Linked DNA regions of Kluyveromyces lactis. The protein of the gene in region 7 interacts with the protein of the main gene of each other region in a biochemical or structural test. Links are inferred from orthologs where the notes say so. Each region holds a gene or a part of one and is shown on either strand. Other genes may lie near its edges. The genes, in order: KLLA0_D15565g, CDC53, HOG1, CKA1, CDC34, CKS1 and SIC1.

Region 1 (3,414 bases), about 820 kb from region 7:
TTGCGCGTTAAAGGGAGGCATTCTAAAAGCATACTAAACCCAAAAAAAAAAAAAAACGATAACTATACTAATACTAATCATAATAGAAAACAAACATTGTAATAATTAATCTAGCCAACCCACATGTGTCAATGTGTTTTCCATTCAACAGATAAAATGAGGATTTAGACCTTAGTGAACCCTTTACTTCAATTCACTTTTAATATTTCACCTGCTCAAAAACTCAGAAAGAGTTCTCTCAGGATCATCAGTATCAGCATTATGTTGCAATCATAGGTATACCCACCCCTTACCCTTTAAAGTATAACCACTTCAAATAATTTACTTCTTATGTACACTTAGCATGTTTCTGAACTAATTTCAATTAATGAATAAGTCATTTTTTAACTATTATTATTAGTTGATTACTCGATTAATTATTTATAAAATGCAATGGATATGATTATGAAGTAAGAACATCTTGAAATGATGGGAATGCGAGACCGCAAAAGTAGCTCGGGGATGTGAATGAGCTTAAGATCCAAAAGAACTCGGAAGTGAAAAATTATCATAGTGAAGTGGAAGATGCAGGTGATGATGAAGCGTAGTCGCTAGGGTTCAGCTCTTCATAAGTACAGTGCTTCAAACACCAATCATGGATTTTGTTCCATGTGCCAATTTTTTTGTATTTGTGAATTAATGCATTAAGTTGTGTTGTTGGCTTAGCAATATCGTTTATCAGAATTTGTGATAACTCTTTTAACTCTATCTCATTATCTTTGAATGAAAAGCATGAATAATAATCCCATAATTCGTCCCATTGGAAGTCTTCATGCACGATTCTTTGTGCAGTGAACATTGCCACGGACGCAATCTTAGAAGGCACTACGTCGATGAAGTGTGGGCACGAAATCATATATCCAATTAAACACTTGCCCAAAGTTCTAGTGATTGAATCGTACTCATCACATCTGGATATTCTTCGTAGAAAATTTAATGGGTTAGGCCATCCGATGTTGTATTCCAGTTTATTCAGAATGACAAACTCGGCCTGTTTGATTTCATCGTTGCTGTAAGCATTATCTGTGATATATGAGTAATTTGATAGCTTAGGAAGATTCACCTCCTCAAACTTGGCGGCAATCAATAAAGACGTGATTGCAATTAATTGTAACTTTGGTAATGTAACTTTGTTAAAAGAAAGATATCTATCCATGAGGTTTATCGAAAGGTACAACGTTTCCGGTAACAGTTGAAACTTACAATGAACCTCTATAATCCAATCAACGAGGATCGATCTCATCGTCGGTCTCAAGTAAAATTCGTAATTTTTATCCTTCAAATAATTGATCTTTGGCGTAGTTTCAAACTGTCTCGTGTAAAGATGGTCAAAAATATCATCCGAATAATCATAACACATCGTTACATCTTCTTTATCCTGGGAGTCCAATTCTTCTCTACGTCTTTCTAAGCTCTCGCATTTCAGTCTCTTATGACTTTTCCTGGGCTCTAGAATATCATCATCTGAACGCACATCTGATTTTTGTTCCTCATCATCATCATCACGGTATATCTGTCTTTTCAACGACACTGAACTCGTTGTCTGTGAAGAGTTCCCATATATCTTATTTTTACCTTCATCGACTTGTGAATTCCTCAATGACCCGACTGAAGATTTCAGTTTATTATCGTGGAGTGGCTGCTCCGATAGCGCGACACGTTTCCTTTGGTGTGAAGACTTCTCCATTGCTTCTGCGTCACTAACACTCCAGCTGCTCCTGGTTCTCGGTCTCATCTTAAAATCTATACTCTATCGTTCTGTCTCCTAGTATGTGGTAAACATATATGCTGTATATATATATATGAAAACAGTTTCAACAGGATAGAGAAGAACTTAACCTGTTAGCGGTAACCCAGCCAGCCAATGTCACCAAAATCTTGGACCTGACAGACAACACACAAATCGCGTCTCTTTCTCTTATTGTTCTTTCTTGGCCCTAAAACAACGAGAAAGATACAATATACAGAAAAACACCGAGTAATCGACCGTGCATATCCAGTGGAAACAAACAAAATCTGTTATACACGCTTTCATAGACTAACAGCAGGTCATAAAATTCGTGAAGTTCCTTTGGAAGCTCTAACAGGCCTGTCTTGGTTCAAGGACTTTCCAATTTCGCTTTGTAGATTCGCATCTTCGCAAAGTGCTGACGCGTCAGCACGCCAAAAACGAAATTTGAAAAAAAATTGTTTCGCGTCTTCGCGTTGTCCGGATCTCAATCACGTGACCAAAGTATTCCGGACAAAATGGAAACTGTCAATTTATTTTCACGTGATTTAGACGGGAAAAAAGTCCCGTTTTCTATTTCTGATGAGAGAGAGAGAGAGACTCATTAGTATGCGACATACAGCGATTATCGCTGACTCCTCTTCCTTCGAGCGATTTGCCTGGCATATATCGTACCGGCTTACAAAGTCAGCCCAGTACAGCCAAGGAAAAAAGGCAGACGTTCGCCGAGTTCTATCAGTCTTTCGCTACTATTCCTCTATCTTATCGGTCGGTCTTTCTTAGAACGAACAGATAATGAAAATCTGATATCGCCATACGGCTCCATTGAGATTTATCAGATTAAAGGGCTCGAAGAGACAAAAGGTACACCGTTCCATAGTTAGATTATATAGTACGAGAAACCTACCGTAGGTATATAAGTAAGGTTACAACCGATTTTTGGGGGGTTTTGTCCAAGATATAACATCATTTTCTTTTGTATTCATCTGATTATTAGGAAGAACACTATCTATTAACTAGATAAAAAGCAGCGCAAGGAATATGGAAGGGTTCAAGTCTAAGTGGGAAAAATTTAAGAGATACGTTTCTGGGAGTCCAGTTGAAGGTGAGAAATACGATGAGGCTCCTAAGGTCGAGGATTTGCCTCATATGGTCGATGCAGACGGTGCTCTTGTTGCAGTTTCTTCCGGGAAACACGATTTGTCCCCGGTGATGTCTGCCAAGTACAATATTCAACCTGGGAAATCCAATAATGGTTTGGCTGAAAACAAGGCCATTGACGATACTATTAATTAGAGAGGATGTAAAGACTTCAAATATTTTGTATACACTACCAATATTTTACCGTATAATCGATATTCAAATTACTTACTGCATCGAGAATTAGCTTTGGGATTGATGCTGTATGGGGTAAACTGTCCAGAAGAACATAATGGGTGAAGTTACGAGGTCACTCAAGTAACTCCTCTCGGTAGCCAAGTTGGTTTAAGGCGCCAGACTGTAATTTGAAAACACAAAGCAATTTGTAATCTGGAGATCGGGCGTTCGACTCGCCCCCGGGAGACTTTTTTTTTCCTTATTGTTTGTCTTAATTCCTTGTTTCTGACATCTAAATACTTACTTATTCTGGTATTGACAGTGAGATT
Region 2 (4,595 bases), on a different chromosome or scaffold from region 7:
CTGAAAGCTACGAATTGAGTAATCAACGAGACAAGAATGAGTGGCTTAAATACGTTTCCCAACTCAAAGCTTTTTACTACTTGAATAAGGACTCTGCGAAACAATCTTCGGAAACTCATTCAAGTGACGATGGGAGGTTTCATTCTATTTTAAACAAGGGGAGAAATAGTGTGAATAGTAAGAAAAACTCTTGGGCTACCCTTGAACAAAGAAAAAAACAACAATGGTTACCAAGACTACGAAGACTTTTATTGCAAAGTCAATATCTACCTTTGTCGTTGAGATTTCTCATTGTGATACTCTGCATAATCTCTCTTGGCCTAGCAAGTAGAATATACCAGAACTCGGATTCCACTGTCGAATCCTTCGAATCATCAATACCTCAACAACCAAGTACTATCATGGCGCTATGTGTTAATTCCATCGCTATATTATATTTGGTTTATATCGGATATGACGAATTTTCAGGGAAACCGCTAGGAATTAGAGATCCTATGACTAAAGTCAGACTAATTATGCTGGACCTTTTATTCATCATATTTTCAAGTGCTAATTTATCGCTTACCTTCAATACATTATATGATAATCGATGGGTCTGCACATCTACTGGAACGTCACAAGTTGATCCTCCGCACGTAGGATATATATGTGACAAACAAAGGGCGCTCGCGGCGTTCCTTTTCTTGGTCTTGGTCACTTGGGTTGTAACGTTCAGTATTAGCATATTAAGGGTCGTGGAAAGAGTCAGTTCTGGTGCTCCAAGACCCTAAGACTATTCTTGAAACGGGCCCTTCCGACTTAAGACGCCTGTAGATTAATTGTTTTAAATAAATCATTATTCCATGAGAGTACATAATTTGTTTACAAACCCAACAAAAGAAAATCAAAAGTACCAAAGAAAACCTTATAAACATATAAGTTTGGGCCCTGTATTAAACAACATAATTAGACGACTGCAGTATGCTAAAGTATATTTGCCGAAAGCTGTAATCCTTACCCTCTTTTAAGTACTTTAATAATAAGATCAGATTCATATTGAGGAACAATTCAGGATTTTTTGATATTCCAATAATGTGTGGCAAACGAAAACAAAAATATAAGAAATTATAGTAACATAGTATGCAATTATATAAATCAGTATATAACAAGTAAGGCTGTCAAAAAGGGTCAAAATATCGAACAACTCGGAGATACTTCACGATAGAAGCAATATAAAGTTTTCCTGTGTGACCCTTTTTTATAGGATCCCGCCAACAAGTGGTGCATTTCATATTTAGCAGTGAAGGCGCTTTCTATTCTGTTTTATCCTTTCTTTCGATTCATTGAAAAGGGTTGCTCGACTAATTGGGACTCGAACTGTATTTTCTATCGCTGCTGATTTCAGTTTACTACCAAATCTTTATTTACAAGTACCGCTACCTGCGCCCTTGGGAATACTATTATTCTAAAGCGTATATTTAACTGGGTTAGTGGGAAGCAAGTCTCATTAACGCTTCAGAAAAGATAACTTAGGCATCGTTCAATAGAAATATTACTGGTAAAAGAAACTACACGTGCAATCAATAAGAAACAAGTCTAATAAGCTATGGCAGACACATTACCTAGATCAGATGATTTGGAAGCAACATGGAACTTTGTGAAGCCTGGGATCGACCAGATCTTGGATCGTGATGGTACATCGGATATAAAGACAAACAGAGTTCAGAAAGTTCTTTCCCCAAGGATGTACATGGAGGTATACACGGCGATTTATAATTACTGTGTCAACAAGTCACGTTCTACAGGTCATTTCCAATCTGATATTATAGGGAAGCAAATGAATCAATCTTCGATTCTTGTTGGAGGAGAAATCTATGAGAACTTAAAGAATTATTTGAAAGATTACATATCGAATTTAAAGAAAGATGATAATGTAACGTTTTTGAATTTCTACGTGAGACGCTGGGAAAGATTTACAATCGGAGCTATTTTCTTAAATCGGGTCTTCGACTATATGAACCGTTACTGGGTGCAAAAGGAAAGAAGCGATGGTAAAAGACACATTTTCGATGCACATACTTTGTGCTTGATGACGTGGAAAGAAGTTATGTTTGAAACACATAAGACGGAACTCGTTACTGAAATATTCGATCAATTGGATTTGCAGCGGAGGGGTGAATTAGTGAATAAATCTGCTATTACAATAGCAATAAAATCCTTTGTGATATTAGGTATCGATCCATCAGACTTAAAGAAGTTGAATTTGAATGTGTATATTCAAAACTTCGAACAGCCATTCCTACAGAAGACAAAAGAATACTACACGAAGATGTCCAACGAATTCTTAGACTCTCACAGTGTCTCTGAATACATCGAAAAGGCAAATGAATGCATAATCTTCGAAGAAAAGGACATGATTTTATATTTGGATTCCCATACATCGGCACCATTGTCTACAGCTTTGAACCAAGTTTTGATTGCTGATCATGCCGATAAGTTAAAAAAAGAGTTTATTTTACTTTTGGATAAGCAAGATCAAAGATTGATTAAGCTCATATACGAATTGATGAAACGCGATTACCGAATGTTACCAGATTTGGTGGATACTTTTGATATGTACATCAAGAGAGTCGGAAATGAAGAAATCGATAAATTAATTGATGCACATAATAAGAGTGCAGCACAAGATTCAAACGCTAAAAGGCAACCGGGATTATCACCTAGAGATTACTTGAAATGTTTAATAGGAGTTTACAAACTCTTTTACAATATCACCATAGAATGTTTTGAAAATCATCCTGCTTTTGCTAAGGCTTTAGACTATGGATGCCGTTGCTTCATTAACAATAACTCATTCGCTATTCCTCCTGGTTCACCTAAATTTGCGACTTCTAGAGCTCCTGAGATGTTGGCGAAATACAGTGACCAGTTGCTCAAAAAGTCGACCAAGAATAATGAACAGGTAGATTTGACCGTGGATGATATCATGACTGTCTTTAAGTTCTTGGCCGACAAGGATGCATTTGAGATGCATTACCGAAAAAATTTAGCAAAAAGATTAATTCATGGATCATCAAAATCAGAAGCTGATGAAGAAATCATTATCCAAAGACTACAGTCCGAGAACAGTCTTGAATACACCAGCAAGATTACCAAGATGCTACAAGATGTCAAATTATCTAAAAACTTGCATGATGAATTTTCCACGTTCATTTCACAAGATGGGAATAATACTACTAGCGCCGCAACTTTCAGAAGCAAAGTTCCTGAATTAGAACCTCTAATTCTTGCAGACAATGTATGGCCCTTCAGCTATCAACCAACAGAATTCGCATTACCACCAGTTCTTGAACATAGTAAGAACAAATTGGAAACCATGTATACTGACAAGCATTCTGGTAGAATATTGAAATGGCTATGGCCAATGTCTCGTGGTGAAATCAAGGCACATATTGGTAAACCAGGCAAACCACCATTCCAATTCACTGTGACTATTTTCCAAATGGCGATTCTTACCTTGTTTAATGATATATCTACGTTGACCTTTGAACAAATACAAGAGAGAACCAATTTGAAGGCTACACAGATTGCGTCTAATATGTATCCGTTTGTGAAGATGAAACTATTAATACAATCTCCAGAAGGGGTGGAAAGTATGATCAAGTTAGATACAAAGTACACCTTAAACAAACCCTATCGATTATCGAAAACTAGTGTTAATTTTGCAGCCGCTGTGAAAAATGATCTAACCTTTACTGCAACCGTTAATGGATCTGCATTAGATGAAACAGAGGCATCTGAGCAAAAGAAAGCAGAAAAGGAACTAAATCAACAAAGATTGATGTTCTTAAGAGCATGCATAGTGAGAATTATGAAGGCAAAGAGAAAACTACCACACAGTTCATTGATGAACGAGTGTATTGCCGAATCTCAACAGAGATTCAACGCCAAGGTGTCCATGATCAAAAAAGCTGTCGACAATCTAATAGAACAAGAGTATTTGAAAAGGACAGACGACGGTGAATGCTATGAATATCTAGCGTAAACGCTCACTTTTTTATCCACCTTTTACTTCGCCATACATATGTATAAGAAATGTATATGTATCAACATATATTTCGCAACCATTCGACCATTCGACCAAAGGTCAACCTTGGGCCCCATATTTTCAAGCATGAATATTCCCAAGAAAAAAAGAGAGACATCATGAAAGGACCGACGAGTATACTATTCATTACTCAATAGCCAAACCTAAATGCTTGGGTAGCCCTCTCTGCTCTCTTGCTGCTCTCACTACTCTCAGTGACTACCTTAGCATCATTCGGAAGGTGTTTGTCAATACCTGCTGCAAAAATCTACGTTCATCGGATTTAAAATCCACAGGAATATTCACGAAAATTGGTCATGATTAGACTTTAGCTCGAAATTGAGTGGGAATTTTACCATATTTCTTTTCATTGACCATATTTCAATTATGGGAAAGAAAAAATTCAGATTTCAGATGAGTCAAGCCATATCAAGGCAGTTTCGATGACATGAATGAGTCTGAAAAAAAAAAAAGGAACTGCTCTACATTTGATGGCAGGTGTTTCTTTGTCTAGTTTATATGCTCTCAG
Region 3 (3,631 bases), on a different chromosome or scaffold from region 7:
GTGGTAGTAATTTAAGTGTAGGCCAAAGGCAATTGATGTGCTTGGCTCGTGCCTTGTTGATTTCAAGTAATATCTTGATTTTGGATGAAGCAACTGCAGCTGTTGATGTTGAAACGGATCAATTGATCCAAAAGACGATTAGAAACGCATTTAAGGAAAGAACAATCTTAACAATTGCTCACAGGATTAACACAATTATGGACAGTGATAGAATTATAGTGTTGGATAAAGGTAGAGTAACAGAGTTCGACACTCCTCAGAATTTGTTACAGAAGAAGGATTCTATTTTCTATTCGTTATGTCTTGAAGCCGGCTTAACGGAGTGAAACCCCCTCAAGTTGTATTATCATAACAGAGATTTTGTTTATTTAAGTACTTTTGTAATAATTTTGTTAAGCAATTGTTTCCTAGTTGAGATGCCCTATCAGAATTATAAATAATATTCGGTTTATCGTAAGAAACGTGTAAATAGTTACATTTCTGCTGTGATTAAAAGATGCTTTATATAATACGAAATAAAAACAAAAAAAGAATATACTTCTGTCAAGCAGATTTCATTACATTGAACTTATTTGAATTTGGAGACGTATTGGTCTGCTTGATTAGCAAAATTCGTCAATGTTTCGTTTGCTGGATCAGGGCCAATAGAGAAAGAAGGGTTAGAATTGGAATTAGAGTTAGCGCCACTTTCAAGTTGTTGTGGGGTCACTTGAGCCTGGGGAGGAGTAGAGGCGATTGTCTGTTGAGTTTGCTCTTCAGTTTGGTGTTGTTGCTGCTGCTGTTGCTTAGAGGCAGCCTCCGCGGCGGCGACAGTGGCAGCGGCTACTTGGTCGTCGAAAGTAGCATTTGTATTGATTTGTGGGTCACCGATTTGATGGAAATCCAAGATCTCGGAATACATCATTACACGCCAGGTGTCAACAGGTAAGTCAGCATCGTTGAAATTCCAATCAAACTTAGCTTCTGCGATAGGTTCGTCGGTTGGGTCATGATATGGGGAAAGGTAAGGATGGGCCAAGGCATCAGCTGCTGTAATTCTCTTCTTTGGATCGAACACAAGCATTTTTTCTAGAAGATCTATAGCATCTGGTTCCAAGTTCTGGAACCTCGAACTGAATGGTACAGGATCTCTATGAGGTAATGAAGTAACAAATTTGAGAGTGTTCTCTGAGCAAATAGTGTCTATGACATCTTTTGGAGGCGATCCTAATAGATCAGTGATGATAGAAAATTGATGCACGTGATCTTTACCTGGGAACAAAGGCTTACCCTCGATCATTTCGGCAAAGATACAACCAGCAGACCAGATGTCTACTTCAACATTATATTTTTGCCAGGTCAACATGATTTCTGGGGCTCTATAGTAACGGGTTGACACGTAACCAGTCATTTGAGGATCTTGAATCCTAGCAAGTCCGAAATCGCAGATCTTTAAATCACAGTTCTCATTGATCAAGATATTGGAAGGTTTCAAATCTCTATGGATCACACCTGCGGAATGAACGTATTTAAGCCCCCTCAAGATCTGGTATAAGAAATATTGAACGAATTGTTTTTCCAAAGGCCTTGTCTGCAACAATCTATGTAGATCCGTCCCTTGCAATTCAGTGACGAAATAAATATCTTCTAATGGTGACAAGAAGATATCTTCGAGACAAATCAAATTCTCATGCCTTAGATGCTTTAACAATTTGAGTTCCCTATACGTTCTTTTTGCCAGTACGGAAGTAGAAAACGGTTTCATAATCTTCTTAATCGCTACAGGCTGGCTTGTTAGCGTATCTGTAGCAGAACAAACCAACCCGAAGGCACCCATACCAACCGGGTTCAAATTAGTATACCGATTGGTAATTTCGAAAACTGTACCAAAAATTTGAGTCCTAATAAATTCCTCATTCGACATTTTATTTCAATTGGAAAAACGTGTCCAGCTTCGATATCCTCGAGTTTTTGGTTCAACGAAGGATACGTATATGAATCTAATTCTTTGGGAGATCGCTCGAACTGGCAGATAACTTAAGCAACGTTATAGCAATTGTTGTCGAAGGGTCTCCTAGTTTTGTTTCTATCAAGTTTTCTTTAATTTTCAATTTTTTAAATTTAACGACTTGAATATGAAATTCAACGGTTCTAATTCACTAAAAAAAAAAGGAAGGGCCTGGCAAAAAACGATGTCCATTCACCGATAATGGAGGGGAAAGTGTCACAGTGGGAATTATATAAAACACTGTTTCGAAGATTTTATCACCGTTTGGTTCTGTGATTAACCCTGAAATACTGCCTGTGTACTTGTTTCCTATTTAAGACGTAACAACAGCTCTGACAGATAGGATCGACGTCGGCTTGATAGATTGGGTTATTATATGTGTATGCATGTATGTATGTAGAGTAAGATTTGCGAACAGGAGGGGCAGTGGCGGATTATGATACATGACATCCGGGTAATACTTCTACTGATATCACGTGATAAACCAAGTAAGAAACCCTTGAGAAGACCACCCAATTATTGCACACCTGTGAATACCGTGACGTTACATATTAATACTGGTGACCATAAACGTTAAAGGTACTTCTTGATCAATAATTATACATTTCCTCATTTAAAGTTTCTTTGTAAGTCGAAATGACAGTTTTTGGACAGACATCAATTTGAATAAAGTATGGTTTGAAACCGCCTACTTACATACAACGTGATCTGATAAGAAAACTTACGAGACAGGGTAATAGATGCATAGAAACGGATTAGTAACTTGATGTTACCCGGGAAATCACACCTCTTGGTTTTCTAGGCATGGAATAGAAAAAATGGACGAACCGTGAGATGATTTGCAGTAGGTAAAACCCACCGGCCGCGCCCTTGACGCTCTGTCGTAGTTTGTAACCTACTATCGGCGTTTCCAGGGTCTATTTACAAATCAAGCCATGACATCCTTCTCTACTGGTGACTGATCTGACTTACACTCAACATGAGTCGAACCCGCGACTCTGGAATACGACGATATACTTGAGATTTGTGATTAGCGCCTTTAAAGCCCTATCATGGAACCCTTGAAACGCGATCGCACAGGGTAAACAAAGCACACCATCTTGCAGAAGCAAGCAGACAAAGGGGAACGAATCTGATTAAAGAGTGAAATGCCCAAAGTCTAGAACCTTTTTACAGGGTACCAAATATAGAAGATTACGCAAAACTATAAAACCAAAACAACGGAAATCAAAACAAAAAGAGTCCGCAGCAACTACGTAATTTTTTCGTGGATTCTATTGCCTTGTAGTATTGCGTAGAAAATTGCTCGTAGAAAATAATCTCCCCCTCAGTTCTACCTGAAAAATTTCGAGTTCATATCGCTCGCTATCTGATATCTTGAATGAGACCATCTTTTATTTTTTCTCATCTGGAGTGGGATTTTTTTAATATCTTGCCTATGTTACTATAGATATGCGTTGCTAGCTATCTTCGATGCGGGCGTGCGTTATTTGCCTATTACTGAACTTTGAGCACTATAAGGGTTATTACGGGCGATCTTGGCCATCCCAAGCTATCCCTTCGAAAGGCCAACTTCTTGGTATATTCTTAAACCAACCAAACCGAGAGTAAAATATTGCCTCCAGCCGACGCCAAATATGGCAA
Region 4 (3,143 bases), on a different chromosome or scaffold from region 7:
TCACCTTCAGAATATCTGCTCGTATCATTCTAAATTCCTAGTTAGATTAGTCCTTTTGGGCGATGACGATGTAACAAAAATCCGGTTTGCTTGTCATGTCCTATACACCATGGAACTATTGATCAAAGAGAAATTACTGGATTCACAAACATTTTGGAGTGATTTAAAGGCAGGAACGGATTCTGCCTTTCACGTTATTTTCCAGAAAAGGTGGGAATATCTTATGAAGTTCGGAAAAAGATTAACAATTCCTATTGTTCCCTATTTCGGACTAGCATTCAGATTCTGTCTACAGATTTTGTCATCGATTTTGGAACACTGCAGAGAAGTTCATTGTGACGGATGTAATATCCTTCAAAGCAAGAGGTATGTTCAGAGTGAGTTATTGATGTTGAAAGACAAAACGTTCATTGCAGAATTTCAAATGCTTGACTGGGCTCAGCTTCAGGATCAAAACAGTTCCACAACATCTGAAAACTTTCTCAATGAATGTCAATAATAAATTCGTAGATTTAGAAGCACCCGATCAAAATATATCCTCCAACACTTATTATAGGAAAGCTCACACAGTTGTTATTAGTATTATTATTATTATTAACTTCATAAAAATATTGATCTATGGAACGGTTATAATGTGTATTCGTTGTTTCTAATTGGAGCAAACCATGGATGAGCCATAGCTTCTTTACAAGAAAATCTTTCTTGATGGTCGTAACGAAGAAGATTATCGATTAAATCAATGATATCATCGTTTCCACATAGGTGCTTGTTGGAATCATTGACGAATTTCTGCCATGGTCTTCTGATGTATTGATCCATATCAATAAACTCATCTGGGAGTGTTATCTGATATTTCTGTAAATATCTTTCGAAATCATCACTACCCAAGACGCGTACAATCTTGACTAGCTGGTCAGTATTACTCGACCCATAGAAGAAAGGCTCTTTCAGAAAAACCATTGATGCTAACATTGCTCCAAATGACCATAAGTCTAGCGAGTAATCGTACATTCTATAATCAACTAGAAGTTCTGGGCCCTTGAAAAATCTTGACGCAACGCGGACATTGTATTCCATCGATGGATGATAAAATTCAGCCAAACCCCAATCGATTAGTCTCAATTTGTGTTGCTTATGGTCAATCATTACATTGTGTGGTTTGACGTCTCTATGCATAATACCCATCGAATGGCAGTAGTCCAAAGCTTTCAAAAGCTCGAACATATAATAACGAATATCAAGATCCGAAAATGAAGCATACAACCTACGGAATTCCGTATTGTCGATATGTTCAAAAATCAATGCAGGTGTCTTGGATATGGGATCTCTGACCACATCTAACAATGTTATAATATTCTCATGCCCGTTATGAGGTAAGTCATATACTTTATCTCTCGCATATTTCAGTACTTCTTCTCTTCTGTTTGTGTAATATTTTGCCTCATCGTAAGGTTGCGCAGTTGGCGGATTCTTCTCATTCGAGAGGTTTGCAAGTATGGTAATTTCTCTCTTAATCTTCTTCTTCTTCACAGGTTTTAGCATCTTAATGACAATCTTATTTCTCGTGGATAACTGTACGCCTTGGAAAACTTCACTATATTTACCACGGCCAACTTTGCATTCAACTTCGTACTGTGAGTTATTAGCCTTCCATTCTATTGATGTATTTTCATAGTCCCAGTATCTTTGACCACGAATCTCGTTGGCATCACTATAGACTCTTGCCTCACTCCACACTTTCGATTTCATCTTCCTTTTAATAATGTACTGGAAAGTCTCTAAAACTACCACGAAATTAACAACGAGAACGATTGCCAGCCAGTTTTTTGTTGACCTTTTCTATTTCTATAAACAGTGGTAATAATGAGTCCGAGAAATCCAAACCACTCACCGTATATAATCCAGTACGTTTGAAGCTTTTGTAATGCCTATACTCAAACTGGAATTTTCATTTCTGGGTTATCTGATTTCTTTTCAGTTCATGTCTCTCTTGCAAAAATTGACATTTCGAAACTACAGTATGAGGAGTTAGGGTAACGGTTTTATGTATAGAACAATTCTAGCCAATAATTGTGTTGACTGACGAACCGGCAAAATATAATGGTGTTCATTTAGCATTTATACGTAGTGTATGTGTGTATAATTTCTTACTTTATTTATTCAATTGATTATAATTTCTGGAAGTTTTCAATTAATTCGGAGTGTTGCTCCTTTTGCAATTTGGTAGAATCATCGTTACGTTCTCTCAACACGTTGTAAATATCCAACGTCTTTTCGAAATACACGATTTCGAGCATTGATCTAAGCTTAGATTCAATATCTTCAATCATAGATCCCAAGCTGGAAGAGTGAGCGGGTACTAGCTGTTCAACAGTAGATACGTTTTGCAATTTTACGGTCTTGGAATTTTCTCTAGTTAGATTACCGGACAATGATAGTTGTTGTTCTTTTGATAGGTTTTCCAAGTGCAAGATCACCGTTGTAGTGACATTATATGTGACTTCCATACCCTCTTCATCGTGGGTGGCAGATATGACGTGGATACTGTCCCATTTAGAATCATCTGATTCAGCTTTCTTGAAAAGAATGACTCCCGCGAAATCAGTTGATTCATCAACGTCCCAGAGATACGTTGAAGTGTAACCACCCTCGTAGTATAGGTCCCTATACAACTCGAAAGAATTGTTGCATGCAACTTCTAGTTCTCTCAATGGCTCACTGGGAAAAGGACTTTCTTTCAAATCTTCGGCACTCAATTCAGGGAAGTACTGGTTAGACCACGGTGACCTATGAGAATCGATGTCACGGTTGTAGTCGCAACATAAGAATTCTTTGTTGTTAGCATCGGTATCCTTCTTAATGGTCAATGGGATATCAATTGAGGAAAGTAATCCTTCTGCGATTTCAGGCTCCAACGCAATAAGGTTCTGTAAATGGGTTTTCACCTTTGTTGGATCCAATCTGTATAAAAGCTCGCAAGCAGCATCATATTTCTCGTCCACAGACATTCTAGTTCCGTATCTTCAGTATATTTACAACTAGTTACCACGCTCAATGAGTTTTCTTCAGTTTGCTTGATGTATTTACATTTACCCTTTCTACTCCTTTAATGATTTCTTTCGTAGTTTTCCTTTCAATACGAT
Region 5 (2,981 bases), about 270 kb from region 7:
GGTAAGTTCTTAATGATATAATTGACGGTTGTAGCTAATGAAAGAAGTTTGAAAGAGCTTTATGTATATTTTCTATGTTGAAGAAAATTCGAAATTATTATAGTGATCTTGTAAAGATGTTAGATTGAAATGTGTTGTTTAGTGATTTATCATCAGTCCGAACAAGTTTACGAGATTGATGCATGATTAAACGGGAAAGAAAAGAAATGAAGGATGCATAGTTGTCAAGACAATTCACATAATTAGAACTCATTTCCAAGGAACTTTCTAAAGTTCGAATTCATACCATTTGAAAATCTTTCAGGCATTTCCTCCTTTGTCTTTCTTACAACCCCCTTATATCTCATATCCTGATGGAGGTCCAAAACCAGAAAAAACATTCCATAGATATTGCACACAGCACCGGCTAGGGTTACTGTCATCGAAAAGTGTTATTAAGTTATTAGTTACTTGATGCATCGTTAGTTGTTCACTTTCCAATATAATATCTGAGGGGCTGAAATGTAGATTCAGCGTTATGGTGAATTGAAAAAGGACAGTTTCCAGTTTTATGTTTGGTTATGACAATCATCATTTAGAGGTGCGAATGCTCCAAACAAAATCAATAAAGACGTTGAAGTTGTTACAGGTTCATGAATTTATACTGGAGGTCAAAATAGTATATCACTACAGTAGTAACCAAACTTCAACGTGTGTTTATAATTGTATATTGAAGTAGAAAGACAAGACAGTAGTGAGGAAAGAAATGTGAATGAATGTGATACGCTGAGAAGCACTGCTTCTGAGGGAATAAAAAAGTTGTAAGGGATTCATATCATTTCATTTCTGCATCTTCTAACTCCTCGCTTTCTTCCATTAATTTACTTCTTCTATCCATTACGCTTTCATCTAGAGAATCTTCTGCTTCTTCAGGCACCAGATCTTCATCTTCATCTGAGTCGATATCGTTTTTGTTAGCTTTTTTGCTGAAATTCAAGTTTGAAGAATCTTTGCTGAAAACATCGTCATTATCCTCTTCATCTTCTGAATCCTCGTATGCATAGATATCCACATCTTCATCACCTTCGTCACTGTCGTACCAGAAATTATCGGCAACGGTTTCTTTGATGGTGTCAATACCTTCATTTGCCTTTCTTTGGGAAACATACGCCTTTGTTGATTCTGGCATCACGAACCCTTGCGGGATATCCTGTTTTGATCTTTCCACTTCGAGTTTTACCTTTTGTTTGTACTGATCCGGATTCTTCTTGTAGTCAACAGCAGCGTCGACGTTAGCTGGAGAGGAAATATTTGGATCTTCTAACAAGGAGACAATAGAAATCAACACTGATTCCACAGTCTGTACTGGAGACCAAGTTTCTTCATCGGGCTCATCCGAGGTGGGGTTCCCCGATTGGTGTAAGATAGAAATACACAACCTACCATCACGGTAAACGTTCGGGTGGTAAATTGCTGGAGTAAATCTAAAAGTTGGAGGAGAAAATGGGAAATCGTCCGGGAATTTCATTTGAGCCTTGAAATAACCTCCGTGGTAGATGGATTCCTCATTTAAGACCATTACACCGATGTTCCACAAGAATATGTTTGAATCATCTTCTAATGCAATATGGAAACTAGGAATAGCCTTCTTCGGATCAGTGAGTTCCCTGTATTGTCGTAATAACAAAGAAGCTGCAGTATTCTTGCCGCTCATACTTTAGAAAGAGTATTTCTATGGTAAAAAGATGTTCTGTGTGCTGATTGAAACTTCCCCCTTTTTCCAAAACTGATATATCCAGACCAAGAAAGTTCAGTTATTAGGGCTGACGATTAGAAGTAACTGTTGCTTGGTGTTCCTCAGTGATAAGATATCTCCGAGTAAATTTGACAATAATATGTTGCTAGAACTTAACAAAAACGTTAGGAAGAGAAAGAAAAAAGTAATGAAACGTAAAGCCAAACAAAAGATAGGACAATACAATATACCAACTGAGTAGTGTGAGTTTTTGCGTTTGTACAAGTATACCCGCCCAAAAGTCTATGCAACCTCTCCTTATCACCTGTTTATTGATACTCTCATTTAAATGCAAATACAATAATTTGTAATTAAAATTAATAGTTGTCTGTGTTTTGACCTTTTAAATTTCTTCTGAAACTGGTTTACAAAAAAGAACCAAGCTGAATGCCGAAAAGTCAAGAAAAACCGTCCCAAGACAAAATAAGCAAAAACCGTTGGGTTGTGTACTCTTGGAAGATACCGTTCTATTGTTCAGGTTGGGGGTTTAATCGATATTTATACTATAGCTATATGTCTCTATATTTTTTACCGTCTTGTAAGCTTTTCGTCCCCAGGCATTATTCATGTTGATTTGCACAACCAGGTATGCGTTAATAATCCATGGATGAAAGTAACAGTATTTAAGGCATCAACATTTACGCATGAATGTTTATTTTCCAATTGATGGGGAATGCGGGGGCCAATTACATCAATTTTTTCGAATGTATCTAATGCATCCGGCAAAATATCACTTCTACCGCATCGTTGTGAGAGCGTGCATTTTAACTGATAAGCTGAACACTAGGATTAAATGTGAATCGGAGAACTCTGGTAGTCAGTTGTTACGTTCAAGATTCTTATTTATACTCTAGACTAGTTCTTCATCGGGCAGTAGTATATTCTGCTCGGCGTCAGCAAACGTTAGACTCGCCGCTTTCACCGATAGGAACAGTGGAAAAGTTCACGTGACCTTAGGTCACGTGAACACCAATCACCATCTCCTTCTTTTCTCATTCTCGTAAGGTTTTCCGAACTGAGCCATAGGGCAATAACGCTCATCAAGTCTGAATCGTACCATTTTGAACTATACAGCACTTCACCATAGCTCAACAGGCCTAATTCCCTTACATATTCACCTCAAGGTGGATGTTTTGCTGAGATCCTGCCGTCCTCACATTCGGAACGTTATAAGATTTGTATCTCGCGACGGCGTGTTGGAGTTGCA
Region 6 (2,366 bases), on a different chromosome or scaffold from region 7:
CATATTGTTTAAAATAACCTCGATCATAGTAATCTCTTTAACATTGGCTGAGAAAAGGTGTTGGTTGCATCGCAGAAATAAATCAAGTGCTTGAAAGGATTTGTGAAAGATCACCTCATCCGTATTCGTAGATTGCGTATTCTTCAACAATGTCTGTAGTAATTTCCCATTCTTTTCATCTAATTGCAAAGTGCTATCTAACTCTATACCATTTCCTACAGTTCCTGCTGATTTTAACGCCAGTATCAGTTCTTCCAGATATTTTACCCTAGGATTATCCATTTCCTATACGCTGAGAAGATATTACTCTTACACGGCAACTGCACTCTCAATCACACTCACCTAGGACGCCCTAACGAGAGAAAACTGTGTTTCTTTCATAGTCCAGCGTTTGTTTTTGGTTAGTTTCATTATTTATAATTTGACTTATATACAAATTTTGGTATCAATAAGGAATCTCAACACATACATAAATGTGGTATGTACATATGCTAAACACTTCTCCAGAAGTACAATTCAGGCGTCTTAAGCCATTTGCAAGTTTGACAACAGAAGACTAACTTACACAAAGTGTGCAGCCAGGAATTGCAGATCTTTGGGGAAACATTATTCTCTCTTATTAACAGTGTAACGCGTAAAACTGGAATACGATTTTCTTATTATTTCATTTTAAAGTCTTTAGTGGGTAGTTCATATATTTTGACTTTGTTGGCCTGCAGCAATTGATTTTTGCTGCTGCTGTGCGGCAGCATGCGCCGCACGTATTTCAGCCTCGTAATTCAGTGGTCTCTTAAATAGTAAAATATGTGGTTCAGGCGCATGGCATTCGTAATGTTCCCATCCCAGAGATTGTGTAATTCCTAACCCTCTCCATTCGTCTTCTGTTAAGATTCGCAAAGTACCAGTGTCTCCGTTGAAATAATCAGAAGGTATCACTTTTAGCATGGCCTTGGGAAGCATTACATGTCTGTATTCGTGTGTATCGTCGGAGTATCTTGGTGAATAATGAATGCTATCTTGAAATTCGAGAACTCTCGTTCTTTCCTGATCAGAAAGCTTTCTGCCTTGGAAAGCGTGCGTCGAATACATTGTTAGATTCGATCACAACTTAAGCTATACAATTGGAGTGTTAATTAACCCTAGACTACTGATGCTGGATCTTATTCGCTCATCACATATCATGTCTTTAGCATAACTGAAAAGATCTTAGGTATTAAAATAGTATTGTTTACAAAAAAAAAATGAAAATAAATATTGTTTAGGACAGAAACCAGATCCGTCACTATTGATGGTCAGAGATGAGGTAAAAGAATAGGACACAGAGCTATCACTGGTGTAGTGTCTACCATAATTACGGTATAGCTGAAGAAGGGTTTACCAATAAACGTTTGACTGTTGTTGTGAAACTGTTCTGCGTGCTGCGTTTGTGTGTTTGTATGTGCTGAAATGGCAAGTCGAAGTAATGTTTTCGTCGGGATCAAACCTCACAGTGAACATTCCGCTGATGTTCTTGGAACTTCTTCTACAGATAAAAGAGTAGAGAATTATGACTATGTGCTGCTGCCCTTGACAAATACCAGATACAAGGATGCCATGAAGGCCAAGTTTGAAGATTTTCGAGATCACGGTCATGGATGGAATGAAGAACTAAAGTTAGATCCTCCTCAATTGCAAGAGCTGGGGGTATTGCCATCTAATGGAAATGTTTCATATATTGGATTGGTCTCTTACTTTTTAGAGCTCGAGAGCCATGATGCTGATGTCCGGACTTTATCTTTGCAAGTGTTGGAGCACGAATTGCATTATGCAAATTTCGTTGGAATCAGACAGGTTATCTTAGCTCCTCCTAAAAAGTTACACACGCTTCATTACTACGCACAATCTTTGTGTACAGTATTTGATACTTTTAAAGAAGCGTGTCCGACAATATCTATTTCGTTACCTTTGTTTGAAGATTCAGATCCACTTTCGACTTGGGAACTGTGGAACACGATCAGGAAAATGTGCGGATACGAGCCTAAATTGACTGTATCTCTAGCTCTACCTAGACAGAAGACTCCCAGTTTTGTGCTAAACAGATGGCTGAGCGAACCTGTCACATGTCTTTTGATCTCTGCATCCATATTCACAACAAATCAATACAATTACCCTGTATTGAATAAATTTAATCAGCATTTAATCACTGAGTTCCAACGTGTTAACGGTAACGCATCAACATTTGGCGAACTAGCTATCGTTTTACATGGTATGGAGAAATACACGGATAAACTCAAAATTGAACCTACACAGTACCTAGAATACCTCAATTATTTATTGAAAAAGGGAGATAAGCTCATACTAATGGAGACCCAAGATGTTGTCCACAG
Region 7 (2,913 bases):
GTGGTAAACCAGCCGCCGAATTGATAGTCATTCTTTCACTGTTCTGATCTAAGGCGCCTATTCCGAAAGATGTTTGCGGAGGAGCATTGATGTTCCTTTTATTCATCACGGTCTCTTCCACCATTGATGCTTGCTGGTTGAACAACTGATCTCTCGCATTAATTTCTGAGTATTTTTGCTTCAATTCGGTAAATTTCTCTTTTGCATCTTCGTAATCCTGTGTTAAGGTCTGAAGTCTCGTCTCATACTTTAGTTTAGTTTCGTCGTTGTCATCTGAACTATTTATTTGATATTGCTTGTATTGTTCCTTGTACTGATGAAGCGTTTTCTCGAAAGAAACAAGGGTTGTGGCGATCGCCCCTTGCAAAGAGATCGGCGCTGTTACGAGCTCTTTCTCAAATTTACCCAAGTCTTTATTTAGAAGACTTCGCTGCTTGATGGCATGATTATACAACGCGTTCTAGTGATATCGTGGGAAACAATAATTAAGGTAAGTTAGTAAATAAGTAACACATACGCGACGCGTGTCTATAAATGTAGAAATACAATTAGAGCAGCGCTCCAGCGAAACATACCATCTTAGCCCTGTTGTGATCGCAAAAATTCTTGATCGCTAATGAAGATCCAAAAGATTCAAGAAAGGAATACTCTTGAGAAATACAGGAAAATGCTGAGTCAAACGTTGAGCGTCAATCGTCAATTCTGATCGATCTGAATTATCCCAATGCGTATGAATGTTCCATAAACTTTCTTAGTTTCCAGTGGTTCCACTGCTCACAGACGCAATCCTTGTTTAGAAGTTATTTACTGCTACTCAAGTATGACTGCTAAATTGTTGCTGGTTCAATATTATTAGTGGTTCACATTAAAAAAAAAATTAAAGATGCTGGTTTTGAGTCTCACATATATCTATATATAAAGATAGTTTAACAGCGAACCATATCCAGCATAGAGCGGTTGCATACGCACCTAAGTAATCGAATCAGAGTCTCTTCATATCAAATTCCTTCTTGACGATAGTGAGGTTACTGGAAACTGGTTTCAACCTACTCTGCTTTTTGCTTCATTATAAGTTGCCAGATTTTCAGTCCGTTTTGTTTTAGACAGAAAAAGGGATATCATCGGTATAGTATACATTCTATACCATCTTTGCTACTTTTCATTTAGATCTCATCAACACACCGATACATCTGAAAACAATATCAATAGCTTTCAATTGGTAATACTAGAGTTTATCCTCTTTTTTTTTTGCATTCTACGCATTACACTCTTATTTCCATAATAATGACCCCAGCTACCCCTCCAAGTTCTAGGAATAAGAGATCAAATAAGACAGATTTGCTGCTCGCAACTCCAGAGCGAGCCGCGGAATCTGATTCCTCTGGCATGGTTACTCCGGGGACAGTTAGAGTAAAGGATAGATTGCAGCCACCTACTAGACCCATGAATTTAACAAGTCCATGCCCGGCATTAAAGACACCTGAATATACCCCACATAAGAACAAACATACGAAACGCAGGATAGAGTTTGACCAGGAGAAGTTACAACCTGTCAGTAGGGTCTTGTTCGGATCGGATTTCCAAGTAGAAGAAACTTCAAACAACAGGACTTTGCTACCACCAAAGAGAACCGGTATAATGGAGTCTTTCAAAGGCGTTCAAAGTTATAATATCAATGATGAGTATGCTGTCAATAACAAATTCAAACTTGCTAAACAAGAGCCAGGAACTCCAAGTGACAAGATCACCACCTTTGAACTTGCTAGAAAATGGCATAACGAGTCTGGTCTGAATACATCGCAATCAGAAAACGAAGAAGAAAATATTCATATTGAACAACAACCTACGGCAGTCAACCAACATAGTAATTTAGAGAATCCATTTCTTTCGAATAATATTGCTGATGAAAAACTGCGAAAAGAACGTAAAGAGAAGATGCTACTTGAGGACCCTGATTTGGAAGATACAATCACTTATGTGAATAAAGGAGGGAAGGTCGTTTCTAAAAGACATTTGACTGACGATGAGAAACAAAGGTTTAAACCTACGAGACTCTTTGCTGAAGAAATAGATAGGCATGATGGGTAGGTAAGACACATGAATAAAACGGGTTTTTATTTTTTATTTTTAACTATAGCTAACGGTACCGACACAATTCATAAGGAAAGAAGGGTATGGAATTCCCCTGTAACACTACATAACAAAAACTGCTAAAACATCATATTTATAAATACAATACTTACGATAATTTTCGTAGAATATTTCAGTGAAATAAGATTGTCGTTTTTGATCGTCGCAGAGTGTTAATTCTATGTAAAAGTCATATATATTAACAAAAACCCTTCATCAACCCCTGGATGATGGATTTGATCCTTTTCTCTTGAGTTCTTTGAAGATTTTCTTTCTATGCCTCAACAAATCTTCAAATACTTTGTATCCAAGTTCATTAGCTGTTGGCAGAATTGGATGTATTAGGCAATTTGCAAACTCTTGGCTAATGGCATCCCGTAAATTTTCTGCAAGTTCTTGACTTTCTTCAGATTTATTCATTCTAATGATTTCAATTAGTCTCTCGAAATGGGTTGTGATCACATCTAAGGTCACCATATTGGATTTTGATAATGTGGATAATGCAGTGGTAAGACCACGGACCCTTTGGTTTTCGGTTTCTTCTTTTATGTCTGATGGTGGATATTCTCGATATAGAACTTTGAGAATGTCATACGCATCCTCTGTTATAAGCGATTTTGGTAATTCGAGCAAATAAATTTTGAATACGCTAGCTACTGTTGATGGTTCAACCTTTTTAGATCGTAATATTTCGATGATTTCAGACTCTTCTTTGAATGGCTTGATTAAAAGTTGCCTTAGTTGATGAACTTCGTGAAGTTTAACAGGCTTTGTCCATACAAT

Evidence for each region.
Region 1: the proteins of SIC1 (region 7) and KLLA0_D15565g form a complex in vitro, tested with the Saccharomyces cerevisiae proteins (4 studies listed by BioGRID). The link is inferred for Kluyveromyces lactis from reciprocal best matches to the Saccharomyces cerevisiae genes SIC1 and CLB5.
Region 2: the proteins of SIC1 (region 7) and CDC53 form a complex in vitro, tested with the Saccharomyces cerevisiae proteins (2 studies listed by BioGRID). The link is inferred for Kluyveromyces lactis from reciprocal best matches to the Saccharomyces cerevisiae genes SIC1 and CDC53.
Region 3: of the proteins of SIC1 (region 7) and HOG1, one has a biochemical effect on the other in vitro, tested with the Saccharomyces cerevisiae proteins (3 studies listed by BioGRID, with this or other methods). The link is inferred for Kluyveromyces lactis from reciprocal best matches to the Saccharomyces cerevisiae genes SIC1 and HOG1.
Region 4: of the proteins of SIC1 (region 7) and CKA1, one has a biochemical effect on the other in vitro, tested with the Saccharomyces cerevisiae proteins (2 studies listed by BioGRID). The link is inferred for Kluyveromyces lactis from reciprocal best matches to the Saccharomyces cerevisiae genes SIC1 and CKA1.
Region 5: of the proteins of SIC1 (region 7) and CDC34, one has a biochemical effect on the other in vitro, tested with the Saccharomyces cerevisiae proteins (2 studies listed by BioGRID, with this or other methods). The link is inferred for Kluyveromyces lactis from reciprocal best matches to the Saccharomyces cerevisiae genes SIC1 and CDC34.
Region 6: the proteins of SIC1 (region 7) and CKS1 form a complex in vitro, tested with the Saccharomyces cerevisiae proteins (2 studies listed by BioGRID). The link is inferred for Kluyveromyces lactis from reciprocal best matches to the Saccharomyces cerevisiae genes SIC1 and CKS1.

What each region holds. Positions count from the first base shown.
Region 1 is NC_006040.1:1,315,578-1,318,991, forward strand, and holds KLLA0_D15565g (uncharacterized protein), read right to left. Parts: upstream 1,775-3,414; coding exon 548-1,774; downstream 1-547. Other genes in the region: KLLA0_D15576g (uncharacterized protein), read left to right, coding at 2,810-3,064. UniProt on the Saccharomyces cerevisiae protein: Required for efficient progression through S phase and possibly for the normal progression through meiosis. Interacts with CDC28.
Region 2 is NC_006042.1:536,336-540,930, forward strand, and holds CDC53 (cullin CDC53), read left to right. Parts: upstream 1-1,585; coding exon 1,586-4,024; downstream 4,025-4,595. Other genes in the region: SRF1 (phospholipase D regulator), read left to right, coding at 1-770. UniProt on the Saccharomyces cerevisiae protein: Core component of multiple cullin-RING-based SCF (SKP1-CUL1-F-box) E3 ubiquitin-protein ligase complexes which mediate the ubiquitination and subsequent proteasomal degradation of target proteins.
Region 3 is NC_006042.1:1,865,481-1,869,111, reverse strand, and holds HOG1 (mitogen-activated protein kinase HOG1), read right to left. Parts: upstream 1,904-3,631; coding exon 569-1,903; downstream 1-568. Other genes in the region: ATP-binding cassette glutathione S-conjugate transporter YCF1, read left to right, coding at 1-326. UniProt on the Saccharomyces cerevisiae protein: Proline-directed serine/threonine-protein kinase involved in a signal transduction pathway that is activated by changes in the osmolarity of the extracellular environment.
Region 4 is NC_006041.1:381,480-384,622, reverse strand, and holds CKA1 (casein kinase 2 catalytic subunit CKA1), read right to left. Parts: upstream 1,750-3,143; coding exon 628-1,749; downstream 1-627. Other genes in the region: CAP2 (F-actin-capping protein subunit beta), read right to left, coding at 2,169-3,008.
Region 5 is NC_006040.1:771,507-774,487, reverse strand, and holds CDC34 (SCF E2 ubiquitin-protein ligase catalytic subunit CDC34), read right to left. Parts: upstream 1,694-2,981; coding exon 815-1,693; downstream 1-814. UniProt on the Saccharomyces cerevisiae protein: Catalyzes the covalent attachment of ubiquitin to other proteins. Capable, in vitro, to ubiquitinate histone H2A. Mediates the initiation of DNA replication (transition of G1 to S phase in cell cycle).
Region 6 is NC_006039.1:1,374,462-1,376,827, forward strand, and holds CKS1 (cyclin-dependent protein kinase regulatory subunit CKS1), read right to left. Parts: upstream 1,090-2,366; coding exon 691-1,089; downstream 1-690. Other genes in the region: protein kinase MEC1, read right to left, coding at 1-282; HSL7 (protein arginine N-methyltransferase), read left to right, coding at 1,447-2,366. UniProt on the Saccharomyces cerevisiae protein: Binds to the catalytic subunit of the cyclin dependent kinase (CDC28) and is essential for its biological function.
Region 7 is NC_006040.1:497,063-499,975, forward strand, and holds SIC1 (cyclin-dependent protein serine/threonine kinase inhibiting protein SIC1), read left to right. Parts: upstream 1-1,284; coding exon 1,285-2,088; downstream 2,089-2,913. Other genes in the region: BOS1 (Bos1p), read right to left, coding at 1-460, 576-578; GTPase-activating protein RGD2, read right to left, coding at 2,347-2,913. UniProt on the Saccharomyces cerevisiae protein: Substrate and inhibitor of the cyclin-dependent protein kinase CDC28. Its activity could be important for faithful segregation of chromosomes to daughter cells. It acts in response to a signal from a post-start checkpoint.